2 linked regions of the Danio rerio genome follow. The protein of the gene in region 1 purifies or fractionates together with the protein of each later gene. This does not show direct contact. Links are inferred from orthologs where the notes say so. Each region holds a gene or a part of one and is shown on either strand. Other genes may lie near its edges.

The links. Proteins that work in one complex are often made in the same cells at the same time.
Region 2: the proteins of ddb2 (region 1) and cops8 purify together in Homo sapiens (affinity purification with mass spectrometry; 6 studies listed by BioGRID and IntAct, counting the BioPlex papers as one, with this or other methods). This does not show direct contact. The link is inferred for Danio rerio from reciprocal best matches to the Homo sapiens genes DDB2 and COPS8.

Annotation. Positions count from the first base shown.
Region 1 is NC_133193.1:21,852,911-21,861,187, reverse strand, and holds the start of ddb2 (DNA damage-binding protein 2), read right to left. Parts: upstream 4,398-8,277; 5' UTR 4,249-4,397; intron 4,144-4,248; 5' UTR 4,130-4,143; coding exon 3,982-4,129; intron 3,870-3,981; coding exon 3,748-3,869; intron 3,446-3,747; coding exon 3,254-3,445; intron 776-3,253; exon of another isoform or gene 636-775; coding exon of another isoform or gene 630-635; intron 1-629.
Region 2 is NC_133184.1:25,518,780-25,526,409, reverse strand, and holds the end of cops8 (COP9 signalosome complex subunit 8), read right to left. Parts: intron 6,505-7,630; exon of another isoform or gene 6,384-6,504; coding exon of another isoform or gene 5,337-6,383; exon of another isoform or gene 4,992-5,336; intron 3,039-4,991; coding exon 2,931-3,038; intron 2,764-2,930; coding exon 2,701-2,763; intron 1,976-2,700; coding exon 1,896-1,975; 3' UTR 1,002-1,895; downstream 1-1,001. UniProt on the Homo sapiens protein: Component of the COP9 signalosome complex (CSN), a complex involved in various cellular and developmental processes.

The DNA of each region.
Region 1 (8,277 bases):
TTGATATTTGAAATGAAACTACCAACGAAAACAGCCTAAGCTGGGTTTTGCCAGTCTGAGTGGCCATTGCGATATACGAGTGTACACGGGGAATAAAACATTTTAAGGTTAATCCACTTTCAATCACATCCAGTGGTAGATAAAAACACATCCTGGATTGCTCTTGTAGTGTAAACTGTGTACCAATTCTTGTGGTGTAATGTGGTCCAACGTGTTCAATCAGCGACAAAATAGTAATTCTTAAACTAGATGCTGTGTTACTAAAGCACAACCCATGCTGTAAATCAGCTAAAGAAACAGAAATGCCCGATAAAATAACAGATTATTGAATTTGATTAAAGAAAACTGCCAGTTTTTGGTACTGCAAATCTTTTTTAAACTAACTAGGGCATAAGTCTAAAACTCGATTCCTGGAGGGCTGCCACTATGCACAGTTTTCTCTGACCCTAATCAAACACAGCTGACGCAACTAATTAAGATGTTCAAGACTACTAGAGACTATTAAGCAGGTGTGAGTTGGTGATGGTTGGAGCTAAACTGTGCAGAGCTGCGGCGCTCCAGGAATTGAGTTTGAGACCATTGGACTAGGGGGAGAACGGCCTTAACTGCTATAACAGGAATTCGCTTACTCCCATGAATCTGTTTTGGCAAAGACTTGTATAACGGATCCACTGAAATCCCGAAGGGTAGTAGCACCCCAAATAGAGGAGACGAACAGCTGATTGGTATTGAACTGGTTAAACTTCATGCCTGTTATTGCATCTCCAGGACCCATCTAGATGAAGAGCAGAGGAGAAAATCTCAAGTCACTAAAACTGCATTTTTTAAAAGTTTTTCTGTATTTGTGTGCTAATCTGAAAATGTTGAACTTTACTTTTACTTCTGAAGATGTTTAAATGGCTAGGTTGCCTTAATGCCGTTTCAATACCCTGAGACCTTTGTTCATTTTCTGAACATTACTACTATCTACTGAACACAAATTATGATATATTAGATAACATACGAGATCCCCTTTGTTCTGCATGGATATCAATGGTCATGTGATGTTCAAGTATAAGTAAATGACCAAAAACCTTGTCAAGACACTCCATGTAACTTCAGTGGTGATGTAAACATATGAAGCTTCGAGAACTCTTTTGTGCACCAAAAAAAGGTCAAAACTATTATGTTTTGCCAATGTCTTCCACATCAAGTCAGAAAATCTCGAGACTGTTGCTGTCTATGGAAGGTTAGAGAGCTCTCGGATTTCAACTAAAATATAAATTAGTGTTCTGAAGATGAACAAAAGTCTCAGAGGATCGGAGCACTATAAGTGTAAGTAATTATTACCAGAATTAAAAACAGAACTCTTAAAGAGTATATAACTAACCATAAGACTATTAAGTACATTAATCTGAAAAGGAAACAAACATAAACTTAAAATGAATTAGCTTCGAATAGACCCCAGTGTCTATAGTAGGGGTGCCCAAACTCGATCCTGAAGGGCCGGTGTCCTGCAAAGTTTAGTTTTAATTCCAATCAGACATACCAGGTCTAGCTAATCAAGCTCTTACAAAAAATTGTGTCCGAAATCGTATACTTCCACACTATATAGTACACTAAAACAGTATGCAAGCCAAGTAGTATGTCTGATATCATAGAATTTAATAAACAGTATGCGAGAAGTACCCAGATGACCTACTACTTCCGCCGGCTGGAAGTGCGATATGCACATTAATATAGCAGCCTTTTTTATGACACTGTGTGACAATAATTAATATCTGTACAGTACTGTGACGGTTGGGTTTAGGATTGGGGTAGACCTTAATAAAATACAATAAATGGGAAATTTAATAAATAATATAAACAATTCTTGTTAACTTCTGGCGGCAACTATATCCGATCTAGCAACAACCGCTTTAGATAGACGCTACGATATTCCATGATACACCACAAGAGAATTTATGAATGGAAGCGACGCAACTGACACAGGTAGGTCACATGATGATGACAAAGGCCACACTGACACTGTCAGGTCTTGATGCCCAATTTTGATTTGTTGCCGATATCTGATTTTTTTGCCTGTCCGTAGCCAATTCATATGTTTACACTTGCCATACAATTTACGCTGTTGGCACGCGTAAAGGCGGGTTCTAGCATCTGTGCCACACTAGCCATGATGGAAGAAGTTGTCTTGCTTTCAGCTCAGCGAAATATGCAAAGTTCGCCCAACTTTAATATGATTTTAAGGCGGAGGAAGAGAAGGAGGGAAAGAGCTGTCATTACATGCTTGCGCCTATGGTTTATATATGGTGTCCTCCACCATTCAGAGGGATCTGTGGCTACGACAGAGATCTCATGTCTGGTGGGAGCAAATTGTGGCGGGCTTTAATGAGGAGTGGCGGGTCTGAAATTTTAGGATGAGCACACACGCTCTTCCTTCTATGTCATTAAACCGCAGAGAAGTACAACATTGTCAGAATTTTAATGACGTACATAACGAAATGCCGCAATAAATCCAATCTGCTTCTTTACATGATAGTCGCATTGCCACATATCTGATTTACAGTATGTTAGTTTTATTTTCACATATGATGGAGGCCTGAAACTGATATCCGAATATCTGAATGCATTCATTTACACCAGGGGTCACCAATCTCGGTCCTGGAGGGCCGGTGTCCCTGCAGGGTTTAGCTTCAACTTGCCTCAACACACCTGCCTGGATGTTTTAAGTATACCTAGTAAGACCTTGATTAGCTTGTTCAGGTGTGTTTGATTACGGTTGGAGCTAAAATCTGTAGGGCACCAGCCCTCCAGAAACAAGTTTGGTGACCACTGGTTTACACGGTCATAGAACAGTATTTGGGTCACATTTAACTGGCAGTGTAAACGTGGTCAAAATGTCGAATGTAGTACATCCGAGTTTTATTCATATTAGTGACATTCATAGTGTATAGAACATACTTTTCTAACGGCCGAGTAGTTCATTTAAAGTCAAATGCAGTACCTACTAAGTAGCAGGCAATTATAGACACAGCCAAGCTTTCTAGAAACGTCCATGCAGATCTGCTGAGACAAGTTGGAGCTAAAATTTGCAGGACACCAGCCCTCCTGGACCAAGCCTGGGCACCCCAGGTCTATTGAATTTGAAAACTGATGTGACACTTAAAAATGAAGGTTATGTATACTTTACACAAATTATATATACCGTCTAGTGTCTAAATGTCTTGGTTAGATTTGAACAATACATTCGTCACTTTTCAATTCATCTCACCCCTTGTATGAAAGAGGTTTTATTCAGCACATCATAATCCCACAGGATGATGTCTCCACCCTTTGATCCCACTGCAACGGTGGTGGGATGTGTGGGATGCCATTCCAGACTAGTGACCCTCCTGTCAAAGGGACTGGCAGTTCGGTGCAGCTTGTAAGATTTAAGTGAGCGTATGAAAGGCTCTTGCAGACACTGTAACACAAGAAACAATGTTTTATACGACCAGGTTCAGATATAAATAGGAGTTTGTGGCAAATATGTCACCAAAATGAACAAATGCCAAAGTTAAGACAAGAAGGGGGAAATTATGTTTTTTACTGTATAGTTGAAATACATATGCTGCATAATTCTGCAGTCATGTACTAAGCTTCTTTAAAAATGTATGATTTTCATACAACATTAAATCATTATTTAATATGGGTGGCGATATCTAACATTCTAGCGAGTAACTGGTGTACTTTAATCTTCTTTCCCCAAACTTCAATTGTCATTACCTGGCGCAGTTGAGCATGGATACTCTGTCCCAATGAACTTTTGTAAATGTAATGAAGAATGCTTGTTTGGCCCACTTTCTTTTGACCTCCTGTCCATTTCACACTTGCTTGTATATAGGTTTCTGGTACACAAACACAGTTTACCTCATAAGATTACATTAATGAGTGGTTCAACTTTTTCTTTGCACATTTAAACCCAATCAATTATATAACTTAACTCGCAGTTTCGCTTACCTTCTTTTTGTTTGCTCTTATGTTGTTGTTTAGCTTTCAGCTTTTTGGTGGAAGGTTGCGGAGTTTCTTCATTCGGTCTTTTCTTTGAATTGACAGTCTTCGTCTGCTTCGATGCAGCAGAGTCTGTCTGAGCTCTTCCTCGCGCCATTGCAAAGCTACTTTCTGATTGGAAAGGGTCAACAAAGACATGTCATATAGCAATTGCATTACTCGTGAGAACAAAATATAGATAATGACCCGTTCGACTACAATCATGCACAACGTTACCTTGTCTTTCTTTCAAGTGTTTAAGGATACATCCGCCATGAGACCCAAAATTGGCCAGATCAACACCGCACACGTGCACAGACACGAATTTTCACTACATTCAGTGACGTAGAAGATTGAATGTTTTGTAATCGTTGAGTGCGATAAACAATTTATCCACTAGGTGCCGCTAGAGCCTATGTTGGCAGAGGAAGACTGAGCTAATCATGATTTTTTAAAATTAACATTAGTAACGGGATGCATAAAACATTCATGTGTATTAATATTGCGTGACTTGAAAACAAATTATACAAATTCATTGTACAGCTACATAAGTGTGTATACATGCCAATACATGAAAGAAAAACAAATATTTAAAGAAAATCCAATAAAAAATGTATCAAAAGAAATAAAACATAAAGAGATTTGATAATTTAAAAGTAATGATTATAATGATATTATTATTTCAGCAGTACAGTTGTTTTGGCAGCTTTCTTATTTAACTATGGGCAGATAGATTAGATAATCATGCATGGCAATTATAGTTCAGAAAAATAACAGAAATGTAACAGAAATAATCAAATTATTACATTTAAAAAAATATATTTAAACTTTGGTTATATTTGCATACATTTTGTTTTACAGTTTTTAAAAATCAAGAACCACAATATCAGCTCAAAACAATTCTAAATGTCTATAAAATCTTCTTAAATGTTCTACTAAAGAATTCACTCAAAAATGATTTTGGCTACTTTCTTTAAACTACTTATTTCAAATGAGCTGAATCAACACAATTCTTGAGGTTTTTGGGGACAACTTAATTGAATAAACTTAATTGATTTGTGTTTTTTATTTATTTTGTTTTAAATTTTTATTATTTTTATTTTATTACTTTTTATTTATTTTTTATTTAAGCATATAACTGACAAGCATACAGGATTATACGATGACATATGTAACAGTATATATACAAATTATTAGTCAGAATTATTTGCCCCCCTTAGGATTTATTTTTTTCTTTTTTAATTATTTTCCAAGTTATGTTTAACAGAGCAAAGAAATTTTCACAGTATGTCTGATTATATTTTTTCTTCAGGATAAAGTTTTAATTGTTTTATTTCGACTATAATAAAATTTGTTTTTAATTTTTAAAAATCCATTTTAAGGTCAATATTATTAGCCCCTTTAAGCTATATATTTTTTTGATAGTCTGCAGAACAAACCATCGTTATACAATAACTTGCCTAATTACCCTAACCTGCCTAGTAAACCTAATTAACCTATTTAAGCCTTTAAATGTCACTTTGTGCTGTATAGAAGTGTCCTGAAAAATATCTAGTCAAATATTATTTACTGTCATCATGGCAAAGATAAAATAAATCAGTTATTAGAAATAATTATTAAAACTATTATGTTTAGAAATGTTGAAAAAAAATCTTCTCTCCGTCAAACAGAAATTGAGAAAAAAATAAATAAACAGGGCTCTAATAATTCAGGGGGGCTAATAATTTTGACTTCAACTGTATGTATGTATATATATATATATATATATATATATATATATATATATATATATATATATATATATATATATATATATATATATATATATATAATTTCTTTTCATTATTAGAGATGTTTTATAGTCTTCTTGTTTCTTGTAATAGAGGTCAAAGAATTATAAAATATTTTAAAATCTTTACAGAAAAACTTAAAGGGGGAGTAATAGTCATTGCCTTTGCATGTGAAACTTCTCAAGTGTTAGGACAACATGAAGGAATGGTGTGCATTTTTTTCGATTGTAAATGTAAATAGGCCTAACTATTTTCGCTTTTGGATACTTAAAAACTGTAGTCAAACTAAAAAAATCTGTAGTTGGTGCAGTAAAAAGACGTGCTTTACTAACCTTCACTGCACGTTGATTAAAGTCTCAGTTCAAGCTAAATTATTATAAGAGCTTGATAACAGTATATCCTATAAAACAACCATATATTTCCATTTATTTTTATGCTTTATTTTTTGAACATGAAAATTAATACAATAATTAAATAAAATAATTGACAGCAGTTTTCAAGTAAATATTTTTTAAAAATATGAGATACAAACAATTACAGGGGCAGACCACTCTCTGCAGTGAGAGATTTGAGCGTCTTGGATACGGCGCGTTCAGGATGTGTGTACTGACCAATCACAGAAGAGCAGGGACTTACAGCTGACAACGAAAACAAAGAAAGGCATGTTTTCCTCCCACTCGCCACTCTGTGTGTCAGGAGGGAAAACTCAAACATTCACTGTATGTTGTTTATTCAGTTCACACACACTGAACGCCGAAACCACATCTCCATATGACGGTAAGTGTGCCAACAAACACACTTGAGCTGTAAATATCTATGCTGTTGTTTTTGAGAAATAAGTGGTGTTTTATTAAAATATATATTTGATAGAATATTGATCTGGTATAATATTGTTTTAATCTCGGTGTTGGTTACATGATTACCTGAATAAGTAGGCTACTTTACCTGGCATTTTCAGTGTGAAATTAGGCCACGTGCTGTTCATTGTGAGAAATGAGCTTTACTTCAAATATACAATCGCGTGTTTGCACAGAAATAATGCTTTTTTACATAATTAGACTAGGTATTTTTCTGGCCTCAATTGTCCTGACATGTTTTATCATACGTTAATCAAGCCAATTTTTGAAATCAATATGCTATAAACAATGGTTTTACCATGCAATTAGGTGTATGATTTGTTGTTGTTTTTTTTCTGCCTGAAACAAACAAGTAAACGCGTTCTTTTGTTGGTTTATTTTTTTTGGCATTTTTGTTACTTAAATATATTCATAGTTTTGTGATTGCCAAATACAACAAAAATGCATCTCATTAAAATGACATTTCACAGTTCAGGTGATGAGTAACATTTATTGGGCATTGTAGATTTATTGTACTTTTTTTTTTCAAAATGATGTGTGTTAATATGACACATTTTATGCTATGTGTATTGTGATTGTTAAAAAACAATCACAGCTTCCACATTTTGATAAGTGTATGATCCATTCATTAGCCTATATTTTAGTTTCATTTTGTGTCAGATTTGGTGTAATTCTATTGTACTGTTGTTGCCAAATGCAACAAAATTGTACCTCATTGTTCAGCAATAAATGATTGATATTGTAGAATGCAGGTGATATACTTGGATTACTTAATTAATTAGGCTATATGCAGATATTTTACCTTGTATGTATATTCCCACAGAATCATTTCAGGTTCACAAGTCATATGTTATTTTTTATACACATCTCTCCACTGTCTGTTAAACAATGATTAACCAACTGAAAGCTTGACTACCTACAGTAACAACAAACGTGTCAAGTTACTGTATTTAAGCGGTAAAGACGTACCCCTTCTTTCGCCTCAGCTCAGCTCTCCATCTTTAGGTTAATGATCATCTAACATTTTTGAACTTGAGGCAGAGATGGCAATTTTCATGTAGTTATTCTTTGGTGAGAATAAATATGAGCATAATGGGAGTTTAATGATTAAATATGTGTTTATTTAAGCAGGTGAAATTGCGGTCAAAAGGTTTATGACAACGATTAAAACCCTATCTATAGCTCTGCTGCTCACAGCACCTATTGGAGAGATTTAGTTCCTTCTTGTATCCTAAACAACCTGATTAAACAGCAAAATGGGCTTGCATTTTAAGTAGTTTTAATGTGTTTTACAGTATTCATAGTTTCAAAATGTCATCTTGAAATCATTATCTCTTGTGTGCACTCTTAGGGAGAGGTTTACAGAACCATCCTGATTTGGTGACTGGACTGGGAAATACCATAATTAAGGAGAACACTACTAAAAAGAAGACTTCAAAAGAAACAATCAGGGAGCTCTTTACATGGCAGATTGTCTCTCCTCCTTGTGATTTCTGCGTCTTCTAATATGCTCAATCTCATCAAGCTACCTCAAGTGTTCACCATCAACCAGGTTCCAAAAGTAAGTTTCATTAATGCAGACTGGTTTGCAAACAAAAGTGACTGTGTTACAGGTATTT
Region 2 (7,630 bases), on another chromosome or scaffold:
GAGCAAAAAACTATACAATATAAAATAAATGTAAAAGAAAGGATAATTGGGCTGGACCAAGCAATAATTAAAAGCAGGTCTGTGTGTTTTGTTTCAACACATTTACCTCTCAGGAGTACCATTTCTTAGACTACTATGGAAACACAAAGAAATTCCTGAGCTAACAAATTAGGTTTCTGTCAGTATTTCAGCATTTTGTCTTTATAATACTCAATGCACTTGTGCATTGAGAAAATCATTCTCAAATCATCTCCCATGGCCTTACGGTAAAATAAATTCTTTATACAAGTGTCCAATGTTTTCTCCCATGTTGCTCAGACTGGATATGACCCATGATCATGTGAGCAAAAAACACATGTGGATTCTGATATTCTCAGTGGAAATTACAAGCGTGTATTCAGAATTTCTTACCCGAATGGACAGAAGCATTATTCTCTGTTTTTGTTACTTTGAAAGCAATCTCCACATAACTTTGAAGACTGATAAGACTGTGTATTAAATGTATGGTCATAGATATGCAGTGTGATATATTTAATAAAACTAATAACGTTGACCGATTTTAAACATTGAAATGTGTTGTAAACGTAATTTTTCAACGGCTTTGTACTCCATTGGCACATAAACATCTCCTTTTGTGTTCAACAGCAGAAAACGAGTTTTGAAAAAGCAAATGTTGAGCAAATGATAGCAGTGCTTTACATTAAAGGTGGTGCAGGAGAAATGGTTTTAAACCTTTTAGTTTCAGGGTCAGTACATCTGCAACGGTGTACAGCATATAAGAAGGTAGCAGATAAAGGTCACTTTAAAGGTGTATACAGTTTTTTCAAAACATAATATATTCAACAAACTGGAATTAGGAGTCAAACCCTGTTTTGTAAATGTAGCCAAACTGTCCATCGGATGCACACTTTGAATCTCAGCCATCCATATTTGGACACACTACTTAGTTTACTGAATGTTTTATGCCTGTCATATAATCAAAGATGCAAATTGACACAAGATTAACATTTCAAGAAACTAAAGACATTTATCGTGAAGATAACATTTAAGGTCAAACAATCAGTAAAAATGAATGGTGTTAATTTCTCACAGTACCATATGTGTCGGTTGTTTCAGCACATATGGAGCTTTTATCCTTAAGCTGAAAGGACATGACGATAGCCAACAGCTGGTATGTTTCCTCTTCTTTTTCAAAACCACTCTGCGTGAGAAACCAAGGAAGCGGTGCAAAACATCTGAACAGCAGACAGAGATGCACTGTCAACAAAACACTTGTCAGACAGTGGAAAACATCTTAAATACAACTGTGAGCCACCCAAAATAAGCTGTCGGTTGTTAGCACTGCTAAACAATACCTTCAAGACAAAGGGTTTTTTCTTTTTTTCTGGACAATCATAAAAACCTACTTACTTGCAGACTTGCATGGGCCTATTTTCTAGATTAAGAAAGGTAAAATACCCACACACATTTGGTTTAAAATTTGGTCGACGTATTGCAAGCCACCTTGATTCCCCGCTAATTGTATAAAATCTTATAAAATGACATCAGGCATATGAACAAATCATAATGAGGGATTTTGTTTGACACGTAAAATTAAACTAACAGAAACCACCAGAACAATGTGCATAAAGTGAAGTATTTATGCCAAAAAATAATAATTTACAATATTGACAGCATACTCCAAAGCAGATTTGTACATGTAAAACTATTTGGGAATTGTCCTATATCACTGTGGCTGACGGGTTCAAGAAGCAAAACAGGAAAGAGAGCGACAGCAGTTCCATCACTGGACAGGACCGGATTCGTGAAGGGTCCTGGACACCAGAATCTTTCTTCTGAAAAACAGAGTATCTGAGAGAAGGTGAGGAAGAGGATGGGAGAGGGCGGAGTGCTTATCAGTTCTCAAGAAAAGCCACGTAGTCGGTAAGTCTGGCCAGCTGTTGTTCGTTTGGAACCAGCGAGACCGGAGGCGGATCTGGAGAGAGGGGAAGGCAGACGAGAAACATGAGAGATGAGGGGATTCCTTCAAGCGCTCTATGATCTGCTGTATAACACACAGACATATGAATGTAAACAAAGATGTGCCGCAGAACAAATGCATGAATACGTGTGCAAGAAAGAGAGTCCACTACAGATGCAACAGCTCCAGAAAAGAAAATTGTCATGGCAACCATGTTGAATTAATAAACATCAGCTGCTTGTAGTGAAAGCTGCAGGTCATCAGTACTGGGAAACATTTCTCAATCATCAGTTACCCAAATGCATTACAGACATCTGCACTGTCTCACGAGGCCCGTGCAGAAACCCAGATGCTGCTTGTTCCTGTTCTTTTGGAATAAATGTGTCTCGTAAAAAGTTTGCTCAGTGGTTCCAGGCAAACACATAAAAAGCTGTGTGCAAAAACAAGGCAAATAGCTGCATCGTTCAGAACCATGAGCTAAAGGTGAGCAGGATCTACAGAGATTCTTGTCAGTTACAAAATGAAGGCATATTTGAGAGTCGGAGAACAAAGAACATAAGTGGAATCGAGGTGAAGTCACCATTTCATGTGCTTGTTATGAAATAACCGTGCAGAACTCAATGGAATAAGTTTCTGTTCAGAGGAGGGGCAATGAATGAAACCTTATGGAGAAATGAGTCATAAAGTTGAAAAATAACATCTGTTCTTGCTAGTAATAAGAAGTGAAACAGCGCCCCCACCTGGTTTCTGTGGCATGATCATCCTGGTGTTTGGATCTGCCTGCCACCCATGACTTACTACACCTTGAGCAAAAAACAAAAGAACATTTAAATGACAAAAACATTACATTATATTTCTTTGCAAAAGACCATAAAGAAAGACATGAACTAAAAATTAATGGTTGGAGTAAAAATAATAATAAACATATGAAAGTCCAAGCAATGAGCACTCAAATCTCAAAAACACGCACCTTTGACGGCCTCTTCTACCGAGTATCCCACAAAAGCAGCAAAGTCTTCTGCACTGATAGAGGTGTAAGCTTGAGCCACTAGCCCATATGCCCTCCTACGAGTTGACTCTACAAGAAACACAAAATAAAGAAAAAGATTTTTAAAAAGGTTATTCTTGTTTTTGTTTTTTCAGCATTTTGGTTTCAAACACTATTTTTTAGGAATCTGTGGCCATCGTTTATACTAGGGCTGCACGATATTGGAAAAATATAACATTACAATTCTTTTTTTATTCTGCGATATATATTGTGATAAAAATAGAATTTCACTTAGATCAGTTGAATAACTATTTGAAATGAATGTATTATTATCTACAAGCATAAATAAATTGAATAAAGAAAAAAACACAAAATAAAAATATATATTTATTCATAAAGCATTTTATTGTTTTCTGAGCAGTAGAACTGTATTCAGGTATACAGTAATTGAATAATCAATTGTAAAATATAACATAATAAATTATAATCCAGACTCATCATTGCATATACTTGTAATGTGACTTTTGTGAATGATCACATTGCGATATCAATGCTAAAACGATACACTGAGCAGCCCTAGTTCATACATGTCTAACTAATATGGCATTTCTTACATATGTTGAACAATTATGCCATAAACTTATGGAATGGGCAACTTACTTTGTTTCACTTGTCAATACCACCAAAAAATAGTGGCGCCCATTCACATGAAAAGTATCAACATAATAAAAGCAAAGTACATTTTTAGTTACAAGATGCCCTATTCACAACTGACCAAAGAATTATTAGTTCAATCTAGAATTGAAGTCAGTAAGATTTTTTATTTAATTAAATATTTGTATTTTTTTTTTTTTTTACTTTAATCATTAATTTAATCAATAATACACTTTGAAGTATTACATTTTATTTATTTACCAAATTGAAGAGACTAAAAAGTAAAATTATGGGAAAAATTTTTGCTTTCATTTTGAGCAAAATAAAATTACTTCAATACCATCATATGCATTCATCTCTTAAAAATTTTCCTTTAATTTTTTAATCCATTTTATAATGAAATGACTCAAACTGAGGAGACATAACATGATTTAAGAATAGCATAATTCCCACACATAATTACATAAAGCAGAGAAACAAATGAAATCATTACTGAATAGTCATTATGCATACTAGATTGTCACTTAATGTTTCTATAGGACAAAAAACATTTTCTGTCATAATTATAATAATTATCTAATACATAAAATTAATCATTATTTGCATGCATGAACAACAAAAGTAAACATTTCAGATATATAATATTTTGTTTAAAATGTTATAAATTAAACATCTTTATTTAGATGTTTGTCCTATTAATGGGCAGAAGTCAAATGCTTACAGATACTTCCAAACATCTTCAGCTCTTGAACTAAATAAATAGCTCTCTCATAGCAACAGTGTTTACTTACAGCTACTTGAATGCAACTCCAGAGAGGTCAGAAGTGGCTACAAGACTGCCGTTTTAAAATTTAAAGGCAGACATGTGCATGTTATGCAGGGATCTTTAAATCAAAATTATTAGCCGTTATTATTGTATAATGATGGTTTGTTCTGTAGACTATCGAGAATAAATATAGCTTAAAGAGGCTTATAATTTTGTCCCTAAAATGGTGTTTTAAAAATGTAAAACTGCTTTTATTCTGGTCAAAAAAATAAATAAAATAAAAATAAGACTTTCTGCAAAGGGGGCTAATAATTCTGACTTTAACTGTATATATAATGAAGAGCTGCTGAGCAAGGCAGAGACTGGATGGTGGGTGGTGGTAAGGGAAGCAATGGCCATCTGTCCTCTTCTGGTATTCTACCCCAGAGCCATATCTCATCCTCTTACCTTTTAAAAATAGCATGTGCCTTTAGCCAGAGAAGACAGTTGAGAGCAAAGAGTGCACAGAGTTTACTTGTGTACAGTTACCTCTGATTAACTCCAAGACTTCCATTGTATCTTTAAATGTGAATGTTGATTTGTACAGTACGTATGAACAATAAATAAATGTAAAAACTCAAATCTCAATTTTCAATTTTATTTATTTTCAAACAATAAAGAACATTAAAAAACAGAGTAAACTGAAAATACAGAACTAGTAACAACAGACTGCAGAAATAAACAACAGTGACTCATTTCTGAGCGAAACAAAAGTAGGAAGATAACTTTTAAGAACAACAGCAGCATTTTGACTAAATTATAAAAAGTATAAAAAATGGCACCTAGTTATTTGGAAATATTCTTTTGATTATACATGTTGAAATGACAACACTGCTTAGCAGTGAAATACGAATATTAAAACTTCTATTTTCTCATTTGTCAATGACCTTGCTAAACCTTCCTAAACCTCTTCTTTTCTTCCAACTTATTTACTCCTCTTCTTGATCTTCAGCGTCTTCAAATTCCTCATCATCCTCTCCTCCAAAGTCCATCTTGGACAACAAAGTCTCCACCTGCTCCGTATCCAAAGTGAAATGGTCCATTCTTTCAAAGCCTGGCTCGGGCCTTTCTTCAGCAAGTGAGCTCTTTGCTGCGTCTTTTGTCTGGGAGATCAGGTTCTTGGAGGCCTGCAGGAACTCTGCGGCACCACTTTGCTCCAGAGCCTGAACTGCCATGTCTGTTAACTCTGTGGCTGCCTGAAGACGGTCCCCATAACGCCTAGCCAAACTCCTGAGTGCACCAACCTTCTCGTCTTGCTCTTTGCCAATACGCTCTAAGAGGGCATTTTTACGCTCCTCCAAGGCTGCATAGAGGGAATCGAAGCATTCGCCAAGCTTTTGTTTGGCACGTTGAGCATTGTCCTGAACAGCTGTGCAGGCCTCCTCCATCTGGTTAAGCAACGCCTGAAGGCGGCCATTCCCCGCCACAAGAGCATCAATGGCATTGCTCAGCTCTCCCTTTTGAGCCTGATAGACACTAGCAAGTGGTGACACCTCACAGTCCTTATGCTGGCCAAATACCTTACACATGGAACAAGTGGGAGTTTGGTGAGTAACGCAGTAGATGTTGATCTTCTCGTCCTCGTGTTCTTGACACATTAGCTCTTTGGAGCTTTTGGGTTTTATTGGACTTTCAGTGGTGCTGCCACCACCTCCTCCACCACCCTCTTGTTGCTGTTTGTAAATGTCGATTATGTTCTCAACAAGAAGATTCCTCTGAAGTCCATGCACACCATGGCGATCAAGAACCACTTCAAATCGACAAGTTGGGCACCGAAAAACACCACCAGAGAAACGATAAGGGTTTCGAGAGTCATAAAGATCACTAGCACATCCTCGACACAGGTTATGCTGACACGGCAGGATGACCACTGGTTTGGTAAACATGTCCAGACATATTGGGCAGCTTAGCTGTTTCTCAAGGCTCTCCATCGAGTCAGGAGTCCCCAACAAAGAGGCAGTTCGCTGAATGTCCATGTTGGTGGTTGCTCTGGCTCCTTTTGCTGTATCACTTTAGTGGCGTTCTCCTTGAAAAATGAGGTTAAAAACAAGCTGCTGCACACAGCAGTAAATGATTCCCTGCAGTTGTCAGATCTATTCTGGAACAGAGTTCCTTTGCTCTTTATACCACCCTCAGCCAGAGGGTGACATACCATTCCTCCAACCAATCAAAGCACACATTCCTATCCACTTGTTTTCAAGATTCATTTTTGGACATGAAAAAAGCCCCCACCCTTTTAAACCCTCATGATGATACCATAACACCTTCACCCTTTCCTGTGCAGTGTTTCCAGTAAAATTTCCTTATTGAAATATTTGCAAGAAGACAAACAAGTTTTATGTCAAGAAAACAAACTTTGTCTTTGTCTAAAAACACTCTTTGAGCTTGTATTATACATCTCTAGATAGGAATATTGGAGCGGGAAAATGCTAAATTGTACTTTATCAATACTTATCACATTGAATGTCTAGATATCTGATAAAAACCTTACATAAAAATAAAGCATGGATATATTTTACTATCATAGTATTCAGAGGGTAGGTTTTATGCAATAAAATCATCAGAAATATCTTGTTCAAATGGTCTTGAGAAATTTGTTTGTAAAAAAACAACCGTCGGTGTCCTAAAAAACAGTACATAGGGAACCCGTGAACACATGGAAAGGGTTATTTTTAACTTATCCTTGGTCTGGGAGGATCAGGTGCATACTGGCACGTGGGTATCAAATGAAGGCTATGTTTTAGCATGGTCCCTGATGATATTAACACAGAGAAGATGTTGCAAAGATTACTCCTAAGAACTCAAAAAGAACAGTATGGTTAAAAAAAAACTTGGATAATAAAGTAATCTGCACTTTTTGGTTATATCTGCCGGCAGTCGACATCTGAAAGGTTTACACTGGGCCTATGATAATGCAGAGATAAAGCCTGGGCTAAGTTTAGTCATGAACTGCTTGAAGTGGAATTTGAAAGCAAGAAATTGATTACTTTCCAGGGTAAAAAAATCTAGATACATTTCATATTCATACTTTTAACCACATTACTAAACAAGACTAGACAACACGCATAACTGTATATAACGTGCCCCCTACAAAGTATATTTACATTAAATCTAACAGTAATTACCCTGGGGTAAAGGTCATTTAACAATATTAAATAAAAGTTATTCTATCCGAAATAAAAAAATAAGACTTTTTCTAATAGTGTATACACACACACACACA